Kluyveromyces lactis: one gene and its partner. The protein of the gene in region 1 purifies or fractionates together with the protein of each later gene. This does not show direct contact. Links are inferred from orthologs where the notes say so. Each region holds a gene or a part of one and is shown in the gene's direction. Other genes may lie near its edges.

Region 1 (3,958 bases):
AGCTTTCGGTCTTCATGAACTGAGCGACCTTTGGCGAAACGCTTCCAGATAAGATATCCGGATGCTGCACAATTTGATCAAACAGCCAAGTATGAACTCTGCTATCAAATTGATATTTTGATTCTTCTGTAAGTGACAGTAGCGAAAGGTATTGATCTAAGGTTAATGACGGCTTTTCCGTTATTACCCATTCCCCTAGTTTTTCACAGTAATCCAATACATTTCCAGTTATCGGCAAATCCGAGAAAGAAGACAAAAGCTTGTCCAAGCTATCCGACACTGAAGGATCACGTTTGAATTTTGTCAATGCTACTACCCATGAACTCACTTTGAGGGTGTTCTGTACCTCATCTATGTTGAAGTCATAGGACTCCTCAAGATGTTGCTTCTGAACCGAGCTAGAGAACGATGACTCTCGACCATAAGTACCGTCACTTCCTCTTCGCTTAGCCACCTTCATGGATGGCAATTCGGTATCATTCATCCTGGGCAACAAATCCTCATCACCAAAGCACAATTGCAAAAGATCTGAATCCAAATCCTGGATATTCTCATAAAGAGAGTGTATCTGCTCATTGGTATCGACAACAGCTTGGTAGTTGCTTTTCAATGCCTTCCCAAATTCCTCACGAAGTTTAACCACATCTCTACTCAATTGAACAGAAATGTCCCTCACTTCGGCCACAGATTTCTCTCTAAATAGACTAGCAGACATATCAGTATAACAAACAGACAGTTAGCTTTCGTTACTTCTATTTTCAACGGATAATACGTGTATGTGAACGTGAATGCGAATGCGTGTATCTGCTTCCAAGATTCAACACTTTCGTCGTCATTCAATGAGTTATCTTAACAAAGCTGTGGTTTCTCTTTACCATCCATTGGTTCTCAGACTGAATATATTGGGTACAGCTGAACAAAGTTCATGAAATTGAAATTTATCAAAAAACAAAAGTCTATTAAGCTCCCTTTGACAGTCGAACCGGCGCTCTTTGTTTTTTTTCTGAGGAATTCCACTTTTTTTGCATAAGCAAGAAGCACGACCTTCGTCATTTCATATAAAGAAATGTGAAAGGCTATATTCTCGCTTTATACGAGGCGAGATATCGAAGAATTCGTTGAAAAGAATTTTCAGAAGAAAGATCGAATTTTGCAAAAGCTCATCTCTCTGATTTAATATTTAGAAACTAAACTATACCCATCTTAGAGAGTTTAAAATCTAATAAAAGTTAGAAATGGATATACCATTATATACACAGTTGTTTCCTTTGTATTCTTAGATTAGATCCACATATATCCAAGCTATTTAACCTCTTATTTGTTCATCATTTAGAGAGTATTGAATTATAAAGAAAGCGTCTGATAGCCTTTTTTTGTTAGTTGCTACAGAGACTTATTATTCATACACAGGTATTTGAACAAGTTCGAGATATATCTTCCATATTTGTCAGTGATATTCACGCATATTCGGAACAGGTAACACGTTAATATAAAGTACAAAGAAAATGGCTCCAGTATCTGCATCTAAGGCAAAGAGAGATGCCAAAAAAGCCGAAAGAGACGCCAAGAGGGTTGCTGCTGGTAAGACTACCAGAAGATCCAAGAAGGAAGATGAAACAGTTGATGAAGCCGCCGCTGCAGCTGACAAAATTGCACAATTGAAGTTGCAACAAGATAAAGACGGTATATCTGACCGTGTCGTTACCGGTGTTCTAGATTCATTGGAAACTTCTCGTGATATTAAGCTATCTTCTGTTTCCTTGTTGTTCCACGGTAAAGTTTTGATCCAAGATTCCCAATTGGAATTAAATTATGGTCGTCGTTATGGTTTATTGGGTGAAAACGGTTGTGGTAAGTCCACTTTCTTGAAGGCTGTTGCCAGCAGAGAATACCCAATTCCTGAAAATATTGATATTTATTTGTTGGACGAACCTGCTGAGCCAAGTGAATATTCCGCTTTGGAATACGTCGTCAGGGAAGCTCAAGGTGAATTGAAAAGATTGGAAGATTTGGTAGAAAAGATTCTCTTGGAAGATGGTCCTGAATCTGATCTATTGGAACCACTATACGAAAGAATGGACGATATGGATCCATCCACTTTCGAATCCAGAGCTGCTATTATCTTGATTGGTTTGGGTTTCAACTCTAAGACTATCAACAAGAAGACCAAGGACATGTCTGGTGGTTGGAAGATGCGTGTCGCTCTTGCTAAGGCTTTGTTCGTTAAGCCAACTCTTTTGTTGTTGGATGACCCAACCGCGCATTTGGATTTGGAAGCTTGTGTTTGGTTAGAAGAATATTTGAAGAGATTCGACAGAACTTTGGTTCTTGTCTCTCATTCTCAAGATTTCTTGAACGGTGTTTGTACCAATATGTTAGATATGAGATTACAAAAGTTGATGGCATACGGTGGTAATTACGACTCCTACGTTAAGACTCGTTCCGAATTGGAGACCAATCAAATGAAACAATACACCAAACAACAAGAAGAAATTGCTCATATCAAGAAGTTCATTGCTTCTGCTGGTACTTATGCCAACTTAGTTAAGCAAGCCAAGTCTAGACAAAAGATTTTGGACAAAATGGAAGCGGATGGTTTGATTCAACCAGTTGCTGCCGACAAGGTCTTCTCCTTCAGATTCCCAGAGGTTGAAAGATTACCACCTCCAGTTTTGGCATTCGATGATATTTCCTTCTCTTACGATGGTAACTCAGAAAACAACCTATACGAACATTTAGACTTTGGTGTTGATATGGACTCTAGAATTGCTTTAGTCGGTCCAAATGGTGTTGGTAAATCTACTTTGTTGAAGATTATGACTGGTCAATTGACCACTCAAAGCGGTCGTGTTTCCAGACACAGTCACGTCAAATTGGGTGTTTACTCCCAACATTCTCAAGACCAATTGGACTTGACCAAGTCTGCCTTGGAATTCGTCCGTGATAAGTATCCACATGTCTCTCAGGATTTCCAATACTGGAGAGGTCAACTAGGTCGTTACGGTCTAACAGGTGAAGGTCAAACCGTTCAAATGGGTACTCTTTCTGAAGGTCAAAGATCAAGAGTGGTGTTTGCATTGCTTGCATTGGAACAACCAAATGTCCTACTATTAGATGAACCTACTAACGGTTTGGATATTCCAACTATTGACTCTTTGGCTGACGCTATTAACGAATTCAATGGTGGTGTCGTTGTTGTCTCGCACGATTTCAGATTGCTTGACAAGATTGCAAAGGACATTTTCGTTGTCGAACATAAGACTGCCACCAGATGGGATGGTAGCATCTTGGATTACAAGAACAAATTGGCCAAGAACGTGGTTTTGTAGATTATTTAATAAATTTTTATGTACAGTCAATTCTATACATTGCCTTCCTGAAATAATTCCAAAGAATGGACAAAACTAAGATACTGCAACTAGAGTAACAGACGGGACAAATAATCATGGTATTAATATTTACCTAGTTTTACACAAATGCTGAGATCACACAGTACCATATGAAACAAAGAAGTAGTGGTAGCAAGTTGATATTATTGCATTGGTTTCTGTCCGATCAAAGTGATATAAAAAAAAAGATTCAAAAAAAAAAAAAAAAAAAAGAGAAAAAGGGAAAAAGATACCTTACAAAACCTTGTTCAACATTGACACAGCATTTATGGTGCTGTAATTATGAGTTTGCAAGATTATGAATACAACTTTTGAAATATGATCAACCGTAATATACAATAATTACAGTATGTTGTATCATTCGAAAGTTGGTTGTAAAAAAACACAATTGTTAAGAAGTGAATAGTCATTATTGAAATAATATGCAATTGAAAAATTTCGGCCATTTCGTAACCATGGTATCAAACGAAACTTGGTTTCGGCAAGGTGGTTACCTGAGGAGCTTCTGTAGCAAACGTAGCACCAGCATAACATTTGCTATGATCATCAGATCTTGATTCAGACCTCAT
Region 2 (4,474 bases), on another chromosome or scaffold:
CATCCAAATTCCATTCCTTACCAGAAGAGATTGGAACTGCATTTGGAATTCTGTATAAAAGTTCCAATTCTTCTAATGACAAAGAATCTATCTTGTTTAGCACATAAATAGCTGGCATATACCTTCTTGATGGAGCTTCAAGTACATCAATCAAATCATCGACGGTGGCATCACATCTGAAAGCAAGCTCCGCACTGTTGATTCTATATTCACTCATAACAGCTCTAATTTCGTCCGGGCCTAGATGCGTCAATGGTACTGTATTTGTAATGGAGATACCACCTTTTTCCTTTTTCTTGATTAAAATGTCTGGAGGTTGCTTGTTCAAACGGATACCAACACCTTCCAATTCCTTTTCAATGATTTGTTTATGATGCAATGGTTTATTAACGTCCAAAACAATAAATAGTAGATTACAAGTTCTGGCCACAGCGATAACTTGTTTACCACGACCACGGCCATCTTTAGCACCGTCAATGATACCCGGCAAATCCAACATTTGAATCTTAGCACCCTTATATTTGATGACACCTGGAACCGTAACTAAAGTGGTAAACTCGTACTCAGCAGCCTCAGATTCTGTACCAGTCAGCTTAGAAAGTAAAGTACTCTTACCCACTGAGGGGAACCCAACAAATCCGACTGAAGCAACACCGGTCCTGGCCACATCGAAACCAACACCGGCACCACCACCACTACCGCTTGAAGCAGCCTGCAATAACTCTCTTCTAAGTTTCGCTAGCTTAGCTTTCAACTGACCCAAATGAAAAGAAGTGGCCTTATTCTTTTGGGTACGGGCCATCTCATCTTCGATGGCCTTAATCTTCTCTACTGTCGTAGACATCTTTTATTTCAATTCAGATATTGATCAGGAAATTCTTCAAAATAAATCCTTTTTTTATAATTTGATGCCAACCTCAGTGGAATACTGACTGATACCTATCGATTCCAACCGTTTAACTGATTTTGGCCTCTGTAACCAAACTATAATGAAACTCTAATATCATTAATCCTAAGCGATGAGATTGTGAATATCTGTAGAACTTCCTACTGTTGACAAAGATGAAGCTGTCAATTTTTTTCAAGCCGTCCAAGGTGATATTTTATACATCTTCAACGCCGATCGTAAATAGCGATGCTGAATGGCATCGACCGGTCTTCACCCCGAAAATAAGGCTAATGGGACCTTTCTGGCCCCTGAAAGATGAATTTTGGGCGCACCTCACCAAAGACAGGGTAATCTAGTATGTTATTTTTTTCTTTCCATCGAGGTACGTATAATCATGAACTTGAAGTTTTTCATCAGTTTTTTATTTTTTAGTACAGGTTTTTCTCACAACTTAAAACTATTTGAAAGATTGTTTTGCGTAAGATCAATTAAAAGGATTTTACATTATCTCTTTACTTGTTATAACCCTCTTTTACACTTTGTTTGCTGTCTATCATAATAAGATTTCGGAAGAACTGTAAAAGTAGAACCTTTGTATCCGAAAGAGTAGTTCAAGATGGCGAAAAAATCAAAGAAGAATCAACAGAATTACTGGGACGAAGAGTATGAGGAAGATGTTCCTCAAGAATCTTCAGTAGAACCCTCGATAGATGGTTCTGTTGAGCCAAGTGGTGAAACCGAAGTTGCCGATGCATCTGCCATTGAGGAAGATTTTATGTCCACTTTGAAGAAATCTAAGAAGAAGCTGGACAAGAAGGAAGACGAGGATACTAAGAAGCCAGTCTTGAAGTCCAAGAAGGAAAAGGAAAAGGAAAAGAAGGAGAAGGAGAAGGAGAAGAAGAGGGAACAAGCCGCAAAGAAGAAGGCTCAGCAACAAGCGCAGAAGGAAAACAACAAGAAACTTCATGCTGAACAAACTTCTAAACTGAAGGCTGAAAAGGAGGCTGGCAAGTCCACTGAAGGTGCGGCACCAAAGGCTGCACCAAAGAAGAAGGTCCCAGCCGGTCTTGCTGCTTTGAAACGTCAATTGGAGTTACAAAAGCAGCTAGAAGAAGAAGAAAGGTTGGCCAGGGAAGAAGAAGAGAGATTGGAGAAGGAAGAAGAAGAAAAGTTGGCCAAGGCTGAACAAGAAAAGGAAGAAGCTAGAAAGGCTAAGCGTGAGAGAGAACAAGCTAAGCGTGAAAAGTTAAAGGCAGAGGGTAAACTTCTAACTAAGAAACAAAAGGAGGAAAAGAAACTGCTTGAAAACAGACGTGCTGCTCTATTGGCTGCCGGTAACATCAAGGTTGCTGGTCTAGAAAAATCCGGCGATGAGCATCCAAAACCAAAGAAGGTTGTTTACGGTAAAAGAGTCAGAAAGACCAAGGAACAAATCGAGTCCGAAAAGGCAATCGAAGAAGAGAAGAAGAAAGCTACTGAAACTCAAGAAGTCGAAGAAGAAGAGGAAGCGTTGATTGATGACTGGGAGAATTTGGCTCTTGACGATGAACCTGAAGAACAAGAAGGAAAAGAAGAAACAAGTGAAAAAGAGCAATATTCTGGTTCTGAAACTTCTAATGCTACTACTCCAGCTCCGGAATTATCCACTGAAGTTACCAAAAACTATGCTTCTCAACCAATCCCTTCCAAGAGATCTGCAGCAGCAGCAAAGAAAGATCTTCGTTCTCCAATCTGCTGTATCTTGGGTCATGTCGATACTGGTAAAACCAAGTTGTTAGATAAGATTAGACAAACCAACGTTCAAGGCGGTGAAGCTGGTGGTATTACCCAACAAATCGGTGCCACTTATTTCCCAATTGACGCTATTGAACAAAAAACCGCAGTTATGGCTAAGTATGAAGAACAAACCTTCGATGTCCCAGGTTTGTTAGTCATTGATACACCAGGTCACGAATCTTTTACCAACTTGCGTTCCAGAGGTTCCTCTTTGTGTAACATCGCCATCTTAGTTATTGATATCATGCATGGTTTAGAACAACAAACCATTGAATCCATCAGATTATTGAGAGACAGAAAGGCTCCTTTCATCGTTGCCTTGAATAAGATCGATAGATTGTACGACTGGGTAATTACACCAAACAACTCTTTCAGAGACTCCTTTGACAAACAAGAACGAGCAGTTAAGCAAGAGTTCCAAACTAGACTTGACAACATCAAAGTCGCTCTTGCTGAACAAGGTTTGAACTCAGAATTGTATTTCCAAAACAACAACCTAGCCAAATACGTCTCTATTGTTCCAACATCTGCCGTTACAGGTGAAGGTGTTCCTGATTTGTTGTGGTTGCTATTAGAATTGACTCAAAAGAGAATGTCTAAGCAATTGAAATATTTGTCTCACGTTGAAGCTACAATTCTTGAAGTGAAGGTTGTTGAAGGTTTCGGTACCACTATCGATGTTATTCTATCTAATGGTTACTTAAGAGAGGGTGACAGAATCGTTTTATGTGGTATGAACGGTCCGATTGTGACGAATATCAGAGCCTTGTTGACACCTCAACCCTTACGTGAGTTACGTTTGAAGTCTGAATATCAACATCACAAAGAAGTCAAGGCTGCTCTAGGTGTAAAAATTGCTGCAAATGATTTGGAAAAGGCTGTTTCTGGTTCCCGATTATTAGTTGTAGGTCCAGACGATGATGAAGAAGAAATGATGGATGACGTCATGGAAGATTTGACTGGTCTTTTAGACTCTGTGGATACTTCTGGTAGAGGTGTTGTTGTTCAAGCTTCTACATTGGGTTCATTAGAAGCTTTATTAGACTTCTTAAAAGACATGAAAATTCCTGTTATGTCTGTCGGATTAGGTCCTGTTTACAAGCGTGATATAATGAAGGCTTGTACTATGTTAGAAAAAGCTCCTGAATTAGCGGTTATGCTATGCTTTGATGTCAAGGTTGATAAGGAAGCAGAACAATATGCTGCAGAACAACATATCAAAATTTTCAATGCTGATATTATTTACCATTTATTCGATGCCTTCACAGCCTACCAGAAGGAACTACTTGAAAAGCGTCGTGCTGAGTTTATCGGTGACGCTACCTTCCCATGCGTCCTGAACACTCTACAAATCATTAACAAGCGTGGCCCTATGATCATTGGTGTGGATGTCATTGAAGGTTCATTGAAGATCGGTACTCCTATCTGTGCAGTGAAATATGACCCAGCAACAAAGGAGAGAATAACATTGTTGCTTGGTAGAGTCACTTCCTTGGAAATCAATCACCAATCTGTGACTGAAGTCAAGAAGGGTCAAACCAATGCAGGTGTTGCAATGCGTTTAGAAGATCCTTCCGGTCAGCAACCAATCTGGGGTCGTCATGTTGATGAAAAAGATACATTGTATTCTCACATCACTAGAAGGTCCATTGATACATTGAAAGATCCTGCTTTCAGAGATCAAGTTCCAAAATCTGATTGGATGTTGATTCGTAAACTAAAGCCAGTCTTTGGAATCGAATAGTTAAATAGCATTTACCTGTAAATTATGTAAAAGTTGTAAAGTACATATCTTCTTGAACGCAAGCT

The links.
Region 2: the proteins of ARB1 (region 1) and FUN12 purify together in Saccharomyces cerevisiae (affinity purification with mass spectrometry, with the first as the bait; 3 studies listed by BioGRID). This does not show direct contact. The link is inferred for Kluyveromyces lactis from reciprocal best matches to the Saccharomyces cerevisiae genes ARB1 and FUN12.

The regions. Positions count from the first base shown.
Region 1 is NC_006037.1:128,573-132,530, forward strand, and holds ARB1 (ATP-binding cassette family ATPase ARB1), read left to right. Parts: upstream 1-1,505; coding exon 1,506-3,329; downstream 3,330-3,958. Other genes in the region: Golgi transport complex subunit COG1, read right to left, coding at 1-715; KLLA0_A01474g (uncharacterized protein), read right to left, coding at 3,851-3,958. UniProt on the Saccharomyces cerevisiae protein: ATPase that stimulates 40S and 60S ribosome biogenesis.
Region 2 is NC_006042.1:2,170,460-2,174,933, reverse strand, and holds FUN12 (translation initiation factor eIF5B), read left to right. Parts: upstream 1-1,505; coding exon 1,506-4,409; downstream 4,410-4,474. Other genes in the region: GTP-binding protein RBG1, read right to left, coding at 1-844. UniProt on the Saccharomyces cerevisiae protein: Plays a role in translation initiation. Translational GTPase that catalyzes the joining of the 40S and 60S subunits to form the 80S initiation complex with the initiator methionine-tRNA in the P-site base paired to the start codon.